Lepisosteus oculatus: one gene and its partner. The protein of the gene in region 2 binds, or shares a complex with, the protein of the main gene of each other region. Links are inferred from orthologs where the notes say so. Each region holds a gene or a part of one and is shown on either strand. Other genes may lie near its edges.

Region 1 (6,882 bases), on a different chromosome or scaffold from region 2:
ATGTCTTTCTCTAGAAACAGTTCTTTGGGACTGGGGGGAGGTCATGTGATTTGACTGGTTTTGTAGGGGTTACAGTGGGGAGGTGAGTTAGCGTGCAGCCTGTGAAAAGACCCAGGAGGAATGCTGACTGATAGCTCTGTGTAACATAGAAGGAGAAATTGAATAGAAAGAGATTGTTGCCAGGCACTCCAAATCTCAGATGAGTTCTTCTTTCCAAAGCTCTCTTCTAAAATGGTGCAAACAGAGCAGGAAGTTGAAAAAGGACAATCTTACTACATGCTCAGGAAAGAGAAGCTCTGCTGCCCTTTCAGCTTCTTTCAATTCATACATCTTTTTTTATCAGTGACAATCATGATGTCTGAATACCTCACTAGGTATTTTTAGCAAATGGCTGATCAGGTCCCCAGCACTAAGAAATTTTACACTGTGTGGCAGTACCAATATTTCGAGGATAATCAGCTACTGCTCATATTTATGGAACAGTTCAGGTGGAGAGCTGCGTCAGCATGCGTAGGCTACAAAGGAACAAGTTTAAGGTTTAGTCCCTGCTGAAAAGAGGAGAAAGAAAACAACGTTTCGGCAGTGGAGCCTTCTTCAGGTGTGAGAATATTTATGGAATTACAGCTGGATCAATATCTATGTACAGACAATATGTACAGCTACAGAATGTATGACCCTCTACCATCTGGAAAACGGTTCCGGAGCATTCGGGCCCGGACTTCCAGACTCAAGAGACAGTTTTGACCCCCGCACTATCAAACTGTTAAACTCCCAGCCTCTCTCACCTACGATCTGAACCTCACAGTGCCTTCTTTCCTACCAAAAACCCAAACACACACTGAAATCTACCTCTACCTCATGTCAAAAGCTTACTCCCCATCATTTCTATCCTTTATTTCATTCTGTTGATGCATGTTTTTGCACATCTGATGTTGTTTTTGCACATTACCTGTTACCTTTTTGTTGTTTTGCACACTGCCTGTTGTCTCTGTCTTTCTTTTGTTATACAATTGTATTGTTGTTGTTGTTGTTGTTTTTCTTTGCACTACTTATCGTCCGAGAGCTAGCTAAATAGCATTTCGTTATACCATATACCTGTATATGAGTATAATGACAATAAACTTGAACTTGACTTGATGCATCACTAACACTTTAAATACAGACGTGTATAAAAATGTAATGTGCAGCACCTGTACAATAAAAAAGTATACAGGTCTAACATCTAAGGTGCAATGTATTCCATACTATGTAGAAAGAATGAAAAGGGGGCAGAGACACATTTTATCACAAATAGCCTTGAATTAAAGTACTTTTCTATCTAGATATAATCTATATGGAAAAGGGATCCCTGTGGATAACCAGCATGGATTTTAAACAGGTAGGTCACGCTTAACTATCTTGAATAAGGTAGGACTTCACAGGTCCTAGAATAAGTAACAGCCGTAACAGACACACAGAAAGACATTTGAATCGTTTCAGATGGGTTTTGATAAAGCTCTTCATAAAAGATTAATTCTCAAATTTCAAGCGGTGAGATTCAAAGGAAATGCACAGACCTGGACTCAGAACTGGTCAATGGATGGGAAACAGCAAACAGCAGAGGCCCACATAAGGAATGACTGCCCCAACTGGAGAGACGTAATGAGTGGGGTACCACCAGGATCTGTATTAGGACCACTCTTCTGCTTTGTATATCAATGATTGAGAGCAGGGGGTGGAAGTGCATTATATAATGGGGAAGGGGCACTTTTTGAGAGTGGAGTTACTTAGCCTACACCACAGTGTCTTTCAAGAAACAGCTGGATGAGACCTCCAGATCAAATATGACAAACCAAAGACAGGAGGGGTCGAAAAACCCTTGTGGGAGTGGAAATGGGTTTTAAAACCCAGTTCAAAACAAAATATTCTTTGGCCGCCACCACTCAGAGCGACTGTGGCCTCCCACGTCCAGGGAAAGGAGACACTGCAAGAAGCAGGAGCCGCTGTTTCATCCGCAGCTGGAATACAAGACCAACACACGGCGACCACCGTGCGTTTCTCCTTTCAACACGAGCTCTTAGACGCAGTTCATTTAAAACTACCGCCCAAACCTTTTGGATATTGGACCTGCGCTACAAGAACATACTGGGTCCCCCCAAACGAACTTGATCCACCGAGACGGAACAGTGCTCTCACGACCCAAAATGACGGGGAGAAAAAATATGTTGTCCAGGGAGGACTTGGGTTATGTATTCAAGAGGCGGTGTTGGTTGAGACTTTCATTTCGGGGATTTTGCAATTCAAAACTCTCGCTGTGACAACTTCCCACGTTCATACAGCCAGATTAGCGAGAGGCCTCGAATAACTAACAGACAGAGCGGAAAACCAGACCAGGACAGCAGATCAGAGACACCTTTTAACGCTCCCAAGAAAACAGTCGCAGACTTTTCGCCCGTTAGCAGATAAAACGCCTTCTTCCCCCTCTTTAAGCGCCTAACCACAGCGAAAGGAACACTGTAAACAACATTCCTCGCCAAAAATACAGAAATGGGACAACCAGGATTTTAAAATAGATGATCTAAGAGAAAGTATTACCTCCCTCTTAAAAAGCCTCCAATCTGCAATCAAGCAATGCATATCCGTGATCCAAAATGTGTTCAATATGATGCTCACTGGATGATGAGAAGTATAATAATTTCTCATTACTACACGATTACAACATTAGACAGGATATCAAACTTTTTAATCCTATAATTCATTGTTCCATTTTAAAACCGAACAGCATGCACACGAAGGACTCCAGCTGGACCGACAACACATCGCCCTTCAACCCTAGTTTCACACAACTCTATTTCCTTTGCTACCTTCTGTTACACTCGCATCCCTTCACCTCCGAGTTACAACATCGTTGAAGGAGTTTCACAGTTTTACCTTGATTTCTTTCAGAGATCGGTCCCGCCGCCATATCGAAGCTTGCGTGCTTGCACGCATCCGACGGAAGTATCCCCCCTTCTCGCCAGGCCAGCACTTCCGCAAAGCGCCGCCACGCCGTCTCTCTTAGCGCCATCTAGCGTTCGGAGGAACGAAGGAAAAGTTTGTTAACAGGGAGGCGAATTAAAATCCTGTAATCTATTTCTGTAAACCTCAAATTGACCCATCCGCGTTCTGTCTGGATCAGTAAAAAGACGTGCAAAATTCGCAAACAAAATCCGGTACTAAACGGCTTGCTTTATTTTCATTCCTATTTCTCACAGTTCGTTAGTGTATTAAATAAATACGGAGATAGAAAACCGGTTTGTGAGGTACGCAATATTTGTGATACACAACCACAGATGTTTATCCAAAGGAAGGGCATGTAGACATTGAGGGTTTTCTGGATTTGTGACATTGCGCGTCGTAAGTTCTCCTATGTGTCTCTAATCAATCTCCCCCCAAAGTATTTTTGGTCTAGTATGCTTGAGATAAATGTATTTATCTTCGAAATGTACAATAAAAGTATATGCCAATCATTTAAAAATTATAACAAGCACCTGCTTCTTTGGTTAAAGAAAGCTAAACCATGCTGATATGCTGACTATTCTCATGCAGGTTTTCATCTTTGCTGTGTGCCCTGTCTTGCTCACACCAGAAGAAGGCTTCACAGCCTAAACATAGTGTTTTCTCTTTTCAGTATGGAATAAACCTCTTACTTGTTCCTTTGTACACCATGCTGGTGATCCCTGTTAAGCACGATCCGACCGTCAGTGGCTGCTAATGTCGTGAGTTTATATATTCAAAAGACAGAATGAGTTGTTAGTTCAATTTTCTCCGTGCTGTGAAACTGCAAGAGCTGATTATAATACTGAACAGGGTAATGTGGCAACATTCTGTGCCAGCAGAGTCCCACTACACAACGAGTGGAGAAGCAAGAAAACGGCTTCACAAATTCGATACGCAGGGAAATTTACGTAGGTAACATTGTTGAAGCCCAAAGTGGGCTTTGGACAGGACATGGTGTTGACAGCCCTACTCTTTTGAAAAGTGCCACAGGATCGTTAATGATCAAGCAGTCAAGACCCCAGCTTAACTCTTATCTGAAGGACGACACCTCCTGCAAGCACAGACCCCTGGTCATTTTACTGCTGCAGGGGTTGGACATTCTCCACCAGAGGAAAGTGCGCCACCTACTGGTTCCAGAGCGCTTTCCAGTGAAGTGTTATTCTTGTATTTGAGAGTTACACAGTTACAGCTTACTTGATTTATTTTCAAGAGATGTTCGTTTTCTTGTTCAGTTCATACCAAGGCATGAAACAATTTACCCTTGGCGAGCTTCAGCACTCCCGTGAGTTGTGCTGAAGTAAACAGGTAATTTCATGTGAACATCCCCAGGTCCATCTCATCTCATCTCATATTGCTGAAGCTGAGTCTGTGGGACCTTTCAAGATGCCGTTGGATGAGATCTGTGGATCAGTTAGCTATTGGCAGCCTTGTAATAACGGTGGTTCCAAAGTTTCCTTTTTTGTAACGTTACCTCTTTGTGTTGCATTCAGACACAGGGCGAGGTACCAAAAAATGCCCAGCTCATTTAATGTGTACAGATGTAAGTTGCTTTGGATCAAAGCATTAGCTGAATGAATTCATGTTAATACTCATGTTAGTGTTTGTAGGTAACCTGCAGTGGGACTAAGGAGGCTGCTGTTCTTTGGCAGCATGGTGGTGCACTGGTTAGCATTGCTGCCTTGTAGCTCTGTGGCCCAGGGTTCAATTCCAGGCCTGGTGTGCAGTCTGTGGGGAGTTTGTATGTTCTTTCTATATTTGCATGGGTTTCCTCTGGGTGCTCTGGTATCCTCACAGTCCAAAAAATAGAGTGGAGGTTTCTCTTGATTCTAGTGTCTCTAAAACCTGTGTCCTGTATTGTGCTTTCACCATGTTCTGATTAAACTACACATTTGATGTATTCTCAGATAGCTTGCCATGAAACTTTATTGGCCATATACAATTTCTTTTAGTAGGAATTTGTCTTTTCGCAGACCCCAGCTTGCTCTCCATGGGCCACACATGGGGGGAGAGAAGCTGGGGGTCAGAGTGCAGGGTCAGCCATTTATACAGCACCCCTGGAGCAGTTGGGGTTAAGGAACTTGCTCAGGGGCCCAACAGAGTAGGATTCCTCTGTCAGCCACAGGATATGAACCAGCAACCTCCCAGCCACAGGTGCAGATCCTAATCCACAGAGACACCACACTGCAATAATGAATAAATACATACATTTGGATAAAAACTCTAAGGTAGTTAATACAGCACAGTATAACAACCTATAACAGGGAGAAACAAAAAAAAATGCTTTGATAATAATAGTCCAGTGGAGAAACAATTTTGTGGCACAATGCGTTTTTTCTAAGATGTGTTATTTTAACATAACCTTTTGTCAACAAACATTAGTGCTGCTTTTGTTTGACTTTAAAGCTTATTTGTCTCCTGCTCTAAACACCTTATCGTCATAGAAGCTTAACAAGTCTAAGGCGTATCTGGGCTCCAAAGCAGACAAAGGCGACTTCTATTTAAGGAGCCAAAAATGGCTTCCAGGCGTTCCAAGCATAACCTGTCCGTGGGTGTACTGGCCTGACTGGATTCCAGCAGAGCAGCTCCTGGCAACCAGTCCTGCATCTGCTGGCCATGACCGGTCAGAACCACGGATAAATCAGAAATTGAGGAGTCAAAAAACGAAAGCAAATGTATTTGCGCAAAAATGGAATGCGCTCTAACCCTAACTAGGGCTCATAGTGTCCTTATTTGCCGAAGACTCAAAGATCAGTCACCTGCTTTAGTTTTGGGGCTTCGTGTTAAGAGTACTATTAAGGTTAGGCTTGTGAAGGTGTGTGAGGCAGTGGCAAAATCGTAAAACCTGTCCCAAGTGCTGTGTTTAAGCTTGAGCGTAGCCCTGAACACCACCGCTTACGCAGGGTAATAAGAAAAGATGAAGACTTCGACAAGCTTGTTTTGCCGGTTAAACCACTTTTTCGGCTCAGGGCGATTCAGATTTCTCATCGGAGATTTCACCAAAAATTACGTCTATTGATTTTCCAAGCAAGTCTGGGGATGTTTGTGTTGTTCTCGGAGCAGACAAGGTTGAATTCTGTGGCAACGTACTTTTGCGGCACCAAACAAAGGCACCGGGGGTCATTTTCATCATTTCACAGCCCACGCTCGGGAATTTCATCAGAAGCAGTCGGTTTGTTTTCGTTTCCTTCTTGGGAAAAAGGCGCTACCGCCTGGGATAGGTGTTGCGCCTCTCCGCTTCCAAGATGCGCCGAGAGTTTCCTCTGAGCCCCCAGCGTCCCCGCGGAAGGAGGCGATGGACCTGCTGATCAGAATCCTGTCGGCGCTGCACCTCGACTGTATTAAAGGGGTCATACCGACCGGCTCTCCGCAGAGGTGTGTGAAAACGGCCACTTGCCAACTTCTGGCCCTTCTGCTACAGCCGCTGCTGTTTCTGCTGCTTGTACTAACAGTTCTGCCTCTTCTACTAATAACACGGAGAAAATATCGGAGAAATAGTTTATTTTGATACTTGGCCCTCGGGCTATGCTGAAGTAATACACTGGTGTTTTCTAGACCTGGCAGAGTCATATGAGTTCATACACCAATACATATTCAAGTATATGTCTAGTACAAGTAACATGGCAAAAAAAAAGCGATTTCCAGTTTAATCGCATTTTTTGTAGTTATGCAGAACAGGAGGAAATCGAAATCCACTTCTTAATGTCAGAAAGGTATTTATAATAGTGACATGTATTTGAACCCAGTTTAACAACTAGGGTAACTAAGATATCCGTCAACGGTCACCTCCATAATGTACTTTTAAAGTGGAAAAAGACCCAAGCAAGTTCATTTCAAAATATCTCTTTCTATATTTCTGTTGCTAAA
Region 2 (7,499 bases):
TATAAAATGCATTAAACAACAGTGAATGGGTCTGTATACGATACATAGCAATGCAAAGGTTTCAGGCTGTGGTGAAAAGATGAGCTTTGAGAAGGTACTGAAAAGGGATGGAAGAAGTATCTTATATATTGTCCATGAAGTAATGAACACCTGGATAGAACTGCTCACACACAGCTTGAGTCCATACTTATGAAAGTGGGCTGCTACAGTACATAATCTATGAAATTATATCACTGACTGTAGTTCCTGTCACTACAACGTCATTAAATACCTTAACAGAAGAAGCATAAAATAAATGTCATAATACAGAAGGAGAGCGCTCCCTCTACCTTGGTGTACTGCTCCACCAGCTTGGTGAAGTAGTTGAAGAGGCTGTGCTGGGGCCGCAGGAAGTCGAACTGGTAGTTGCGCTGCTCCTTCTGCATGAGCTGGGTGAGGAACTGCCGCCCGTTGCGCGCAACAAACTGCGCCGTGAGCTTCACCACATCCAGGTCAAAGGCCGAGATGGAGGGGGGGTCGGCGATGAACTCGTACTCGGGGGGAGGCTCCTTCGGCACCACGGTTTCTTGGATCACCTGCGCTTGCACCTTGCAAAGATGCGAAGCTGTTAGCTGGGCTTGGGAACACCGTTCTGCACTTGTTGCGGTGTATTGGATCGCGTTAAATCAGTAGTCTGTTCAAGCCATAATGTATGGATCAGAAACTAAATAACTTTTAGCCACTTACGGGGCTCATATAAACATATCAATAAATTATCTTTGTTCACTTGGCAAGCTATAGAGATTTGCTCTTCCTGAAAGGGTGAAATGCCTCATAGGATGTGACCATCTGTTCAGTGGTGAAGAAACAACAGCACTTCTGATGCACCTATTAAAAGTCAAGTCCTATAAGTTCCATTTGGTTGCATCACAAACTGACTGACAACACGTTTTTTTGTTCTGCTTTCAAAAACCCATTAAAACGAACCTGCGGAACTCAAGGGACAAGAACAGAACAATCAAAATCCACAACGACTTCGTTCCTTCCGAGCCTCAAGGCCCACTGCGCTTAGTTACAAAGCACGAGGTCGTCTCCGAGTGTGGGGGGCGGAGGGGGTCCCCCGAGCCTACCTTCTGCGGGAGCTGCTGCTGGGGCGCCTGCTGCAGGGCCTGCTGCTGCATGACCTTGGGCACGGCGGCCGAGGGCTCCTGCGCCTTCCCCTCCTTGAACTCGTTGACCTTGTGCCGGTAGTAGGCATGGTAGGGGTCGTTGGGGTTCAGGAAGTTGAACTTGGGGTTGTTGATCTCGTTCTGCCGAATCCTCGCCTCAAACTCCGGTCCGTTTCTGCAAGGGTAGAGGAAAGGAATGGATGCTGGAATCGTAGATGCCCTTACAGGGCGAGTTCAGAAACAACAATGGCTTGCAGCATATTGCACGAGGGTTCAATCAGTGAGCTTGTTATGGTGACGTGACCCCACAGGACACCAACTGTGCTCAAGTCTCCCACGGTGGGAGGCCACTCGTTGAGTGCAGCAGGATTCACTGCGCTGTGCAGCTCAGAGCAGGGAGCAGCTGTAGCTGAGAGACAGCACCTAATTCCCAAGAGGAGCCACATGCATCTATCTTTTCAAGTCAAGTCGTTCAGTTCAGAGTCGCCTGGAACTTCGACAAATGCAGCTATGTTATGGATACCTTCATTAAAGAAAAGAGCAATTTTTGTTTTGCTGAATTCAAAGCTCATGTTCAACTTTGCATTAACTCCAAAATGCATTTTTGTTTGGTTATCTTTGTTTTTGCCATATGGATTTTGTATTGTTCCTCTAAGAATACATCTGCCTTTACAAATGTAATAATCATTTTTTTAAATGGGACCCAGGACCTGGCTCGCTGGGTTCTGTTGTACCTATAGTGAAATCCTCAGAAACACCTCAACACACAATAGAGAACTATTTAGTACATCCATCATGGTTCCAAAATGTGTTTTTTTTTTCTTTTAGAGAATTAAATATAGTGCCACCTGGTGCATCGAGAGAGCTGCCAAGTTATCAGAAGAAACAGCCTACCTGGCTACAAAGCTGGCTGTCTTATCGACGATGTTCCGGACCTCCGGAGGGGGGTAGATGATGCCCACGATGGGCTTGGAAGCCGGCGATTCCTCTTTCGCTTCATCGACCTGTGAAAACAGAACATTAATCCGATACTGAGGGCTACAGGTCACATCCACCGCCTGCAAAGAGACACTGCTGGGTGTAGTTCTTCAATGCATTGTGACACTACACCGCGAAATGTAAAAACAGCGAAATCTCAAAACCCCAAAACACAGGCGGTCAACTTCGCAGCACGCCCGTTCTTGCACAGTTAGAGTTTAGTATTCGTGTGGCTCAACCATCCCAGTATACTATTATCGCGCAGAAGATATTACAATTATCCCCCCGAATTACGGATGACTTCCACAGGTCTACCCAAAAGCACCCGACTTGTTTTACACTGAGAAAAGTTCTTAGCTCAAGGGTAAAACTCCCAGAACATGTATTTGCACTGAGCGCGAATGTAAACCGACAAGTTTCTTTACAGGAATATTAGAAAACAAAACTCTTTGGATCTGAAGTTACTATGGACACGTTGCGTGGACCAGAACACAGTTTTTGTAGCTGTTTTTGTATGTACAGTTTTACCCCGGGTAAACCACGTACTTAGGCCCGCAGCGCTTCGCAGCTACCCGTTACCTTATTGTTGGTTTCCGGCTGCACGATCTGCACCGGTCCGGCAGGCATGGCTGTGCTGGGCCGAAGACAACCCAAACACCCGCGTTTCCGTGTCTTGGTGAATCACTTGCGTCCTCGGACTACTGAATCCAATTTTTCCTTGTATCTTCGATTCGCCGTATTATGGAATCGAACGGAACAGTAATGTTTAAATATAAAAGGCCTCGTTTACAGCCCGCAACGAAGAACTCGTTTCGCGTAACTCTCGTAACCCGGAAACGAAAGGAGCTCCTCTTCCGGAGTGCCCCTCGCTTGGGATTGTGGGAAATGCAGTTCTCTGATGGCCGACTTAATAATAATAATTGCTTACACTAATATTGCGCTTTTCTGGACACTCCACTCAAAGCGCTTTACAGGTAATGGGGATCCCCTCCACCACCAATGTGCAGCATCCACCTGGATGATGCGACGGCAGCTATAGTGCGCCTGAACAAGTAATGTAGCCAAATCATAAAGGGGGATTATTAGGTAAGGTCCAATGGGAAATTTGGCCAGGCCGGGGTTACACCCCTACTCTTTTCGAAAAACGCCCTGAGATTTTTAATGACCACAAAGAGCCAGGATCTCGGTTTTACGTCTCATCCGAAGGACGGCACCTGTTTACAGTGTAGTGTCCCCGTCACTATACTGAGGCATTAGGACCCACATGGACCGCAGGGTGAGCGCCCCCTGCTGGCCCCACTAACACCTCTTCCAGCAGCAGCCTTAGCTTTCCAAGGAGGTCTCCTATCCAGGTACTAACCAGGCTCACACCTGCTTAGCTTCAGTGGGTTGCCAGTTGTGAGTTGCAGGGTGATATGGCTGCTGGACTTGCAAGCAATTGCAATTTCCTGTGTACCACATATTTGAAATATATTTTTCATCTCAGTATCGCCATAGTTTCCACAGCCTTCACTGTTTCTGTCGTTGCTTTTCATTAAATAACAGTTAACTATTTACTGCTCTTCAGTGTGTTTTTGCAAAATTAAAAATAATGTTTACAGTTATTTATGTTTGTCTTAATTTTGTAGGCGCCCTTATCCTGAGCTACCAACCGCACACATATATATATATTAAAAAAATATTAAATGTATACACGTTTACAGAAACAAAAACAAGCGAAAAGCTAACAAAATTAATATTAAGGCCAGTTCAAAATTCCGTGGCACTATAATTCTGAATATAATTATAGGTCGCCTTGGATAAAAAGGCTACGTTATAACTGTTGTCATTCTTAGCAATCAAATAATGTCCGAGCCAGTGCCTCCTGATAAAATGGCTCGACAGCTGGAGTTTCAGATGACGTCATCCTCAGGCGACTTCCTGTCCGTTGTTTCCATGGAAATAGGGGACAACAGATGGAAGCTTGAGGATTTCAAGAGCATAACGATCAAATAAAACAGGGACGTTTCGCTGTATTTCATCGAACTGAAAACAGAAGAGCAAAAACACGAAAGCTCTAGCAATGACCATAGAGTAAGGACAAGTAAGTGTTTCTTGATGTATCATCTGATTTTTTACTGTGTGTCGGCAGCAGGAGCATGATTTCTGCAAGTGCATTGGCTTGTCTGCTTTTTTTCTTTTTTGGTGACTTCGAGAGCGATGGTCACCAAGCTGAATGTTGAACGGAGAGCTGTGACTTACTGTAAATCTCTGAAGACTGCCGACTCAAGTGTCAGCCCTGTTTCTAATGACTCCAGTGTGTGCTGAGTTTTGTTCGGTCTGATTTTGTGATTATTTAATTTACCCCACATTTAACCAGGAGACTACTTCCACAACCCTTTGCGTAGTGAAGGGCCTCCAGTTCTCAGTTTTAAATGCATGTAGGCTCCACTTGTGCCCTTGGGTTTAATTCACATTTCACTGTTCCTTCTAGGTTTTTTGATAGTCTTCAGAACTGCAGCTCTGGGGTTTTCAATTTACCATTCGAAACTTGTAAGTAATCTGAAAATGATACTTTTTTAGAGCATGTTAAAGGAGGAAACTTCAGTTATACTTATACTCTAATGAAGCAATCACATGTATATAAAGGGGTCACAAGAGCCTGAGGAGTGTAATCCTGGTAAGTAACTCTACTCTTAATGGATTTTGTGATTATTATTTATATTAATTAATTTGTTAGCTCTTCTTAACAATACGTTGCTTTACAGTACATTCAACTGAGTCATGCCATGACTGTATTCAATTTCAATCCACCACACTAATATGCGATAGCAGCCAGAAGGTTTTGATTCAACAATACAGTTTCATAGTTGTACTCTATTATCGACTCAACTTGTTATAGTAGGTCCTGCCTAAATAAATGCCTTATTTAGTTTTGTCAGATATGTCTATTGTGCCTTTGTTTTGTTTTGTGTGTTTTGGTCTGATGTCTTTTCTGGCTTTCATTTCAGCTTTGCTCTTTGTCATTGAGGCTACATTGAACTAACAATTGTCTCATTAAGACATTTCCAATCGTTTTGAGCACTTAGGGACACAGCTCAAGTATTCAGTTAAGTAATGCAAAACTGAGTTAGTCAAACCCAGAAGACACAGGTGCTCTTTGCAACCATGACTAAAACCACTTAATTAGACGGTCAGGTATTTTTATTAAAACAAAAGCCTTGTACTCTTTCACAGCAGTGCTTCCCAAATCAGTACTGCAGCCCTTGCCCCTCTCCCATCAAGCCTATCTGTATTGATGATCATTGATGCATTTTGATATTTAAACTCCTAAACATTGTGGAGAATGCACTAGTACAGTGATTCTGTCTCTTGGCCCTGGCAAGCTATAAGGTCCTCTGGTTTCCATTCCTCACTGACTGCTTAATGACAATCAATCAATTAAGAAAAACGCAATTAATTGGTCTTAATTACAATTGTTTCCAAGCCTTTAGTAATAGAAGAGTTTGTTTTTCCCATAAAACCTACAGGCTCCTGTCTAGATCCAATTTCAGTACTCCTCTAGGGCCTGGATTGCAAATTATTACAGTAGTCATGATGCATTAAGTAGCATAGATTTAAAAATGAGAAGATTATTGTTGGGTTAGAAAAATCGAAAGGGATCAAAATAGCGTTTAATAAGAGTTAGGGAGGTAGAAGTTCCAGCAGGGAGCTGCGTCGGCTTGCGCAGGCTGCAGAGTAACAGGTAAAGGGTTATTCCTGCTGAAAGGAAAAGAAAACAGAAAAAAGACCCGTCTTCAGTTGTCAAGGGTGTTAGGGAAGTAGCGCTGAAGACCATGAGGCTGTGGAGGTCTGGGCTGTTGTGTGCATCTCAGCACTCGGTCTCAGCTGGCAAACGCTTCTTCGAAGGGTTGGAGAGCGACAGCAGACTGGGAGGCTGGGGAAGATGAGCCACCTGCTGGGCCGGCAGGACTGCGTGGACAGCCTGCGGAGGGACCTGACTGACCTCCAGGGCACGGTCCTGGATGTGTTCTCCCGCACCGGCCCGATCCGCAGTCCCTCCTGGAAGTTCCCCGACAAGCTGTCCTGTAACCTAGACCTGGTGACCCTCCTGGAGCAGTATGACTTTGTGGAGGGTGAGGAGGAGTTCAACCAGCACTCCCATATCGTGCTGCTGGAGCTGGTTGTGGACAGGTAAGGTTCTGTTCCTTCTACTTCATGTCCACACAGTATTTACTAAGCCTTTATGAATAACCCACACACTTAGTTGAGAAAGTGAGAGCTCAAATAAACGCAAAGTGTTGTCTTCCTGCTTCTTGTACTGGGTGGCAGCAGTGAGTTGCCTTTGATAGAAAAAGTGTGGCTTTCAAATTGGAAACAGACTAATTTTGAGTTTAATACGAAGCAATCCCTATGAAAAGTGAAAACCTTCGGTGAATTTGAAATTAATTCTGTTCCCCCACCTTTGTTTTAAGTAAGTACTTTATGTTTCTACAATTTCAACTGAATATTTACGATACTAATGTAGCTCAGTACAATGGAGGCCCAGTACAAGATTGCTGAGGTGTCCCTCTTGATCTTTGTCCTTGTAATACATTTTAAATCTGTATCAATAACAAATGTAATAAATAATAACATTTGACTTTTTCAAAACAATATCTGAAGGTGGTATTACTGCTTTATTAGCACATTACTTTCCTAACTTACCAAATGATTGTAGTGTAAAAAATGTGATTTTGAGGTGTCTTTGCAGTACCCCAATAAGCTCAGAGCCCTGCTGCTGCTCTGTCTGATTGTTTCTCTCTCAGCAGGGGATATTACTCCTTTAACAGTGTTCATCTCAGCAATCATGTGAAAGAAACAAAAAAAGCATCAGAGCACTGAAAAAGCAAGAACTCAACATCTGTTGCCAAGTGTCAGCCCGTGTCTGCTGGTGTGTGTTGTAGGCGTGATGGTGTGAGTTCCACTTACAGGCAGTGATGTTGTCTGTGCTGCCAGGCTGGTGCTGCTGCTGCAGAGTTTCAGTGGCTTCACCGAGGGCATGCTGGGAGGACACAGGAGCGGTTCCCAGACTGGGGCAGCTGGGCCCTCCACGTCCATTGGACTGGCAGTCAGATGCTGCTGGAACAACCTTCTCAAACTAGGGACCCTTCATCAATGCACACTCCGACAGGTCACTGATAAGAATTGCATTAATGATTTATTTAGTCATATTTCTGAAAAACGTTACAAAATGTCTTAGTTCTTGAAATCTACAAACAGTACTCAGTTAGAGAAATATATTGTAAGGATATTGAAATCTGAATTGTTGAGAGAAGGTAAAAGATGTGAAAAAGATTTATAGTGCTTATGCCTCATATTCATCTTTTCATCTCAAATCTGATTTGCAAAAAC

What was found. Proteins that work in one complex are often made in the same cells at the same time.
Region 1: sf3a1 (region 2) and sf3b4 share a complex: the UniProt entries of both Homo sapiens proteins name them as parts of the 17S U2 SnRNP complex. The link is inferred for Lepisosteus oculatus from reciprocal best matches to the Homo sapiens genes SF3A1 and SF3B4.

What each region holds. Positions count from the first base shown.
Region 1 is NC_090722.1:2,463,755-2,470,636, reverse strand, and holds the start of sf3b4 (splicing factor 3B subunit 4), read right to left. Parts: upstream 3,009-6,882; 5' UTR 2,945-3,008; coding exon 2,911-2,944; intron 1-2,910. Other genes in the region: RING finger protein 225-like, read left to right, coding at 6,311-6,390. UniProt on the Homo sapiens protein: Component of the 17S U2 SnRNP complex of the spliceosome, a large ribonucleoprotein complex that removes introns from transcribed pre-mRNAs.
Region 2 is NC_090717.1:13,808,395-13,815,893, reverse strand, and holds the start of sf3a1 (splicing factor 3A subunit 1), read right to left. Parts: upstream 3,023-7,499; 5' UTR 2,754-3,022; coding exon 2,706-2,753; intron 2,153-2,705; coding exon 2,043-2,152; intron 1,324-2,042; coding exon 1,110-1,323; intron 588-1,109; coding exon 330-587; intron 1-329. Other genes in the region: ccdc157 (coiled-coil domain-containing protein 157), read left to right, coding at 6,052-6,299, 7,104-7,278. UniProt on the Homo sapiens protein: Component of the 17S U2 SnRNP complex of the spliceosome, a large ribonucleoprotein complex that removes introns from transcribed pre-mRNAs.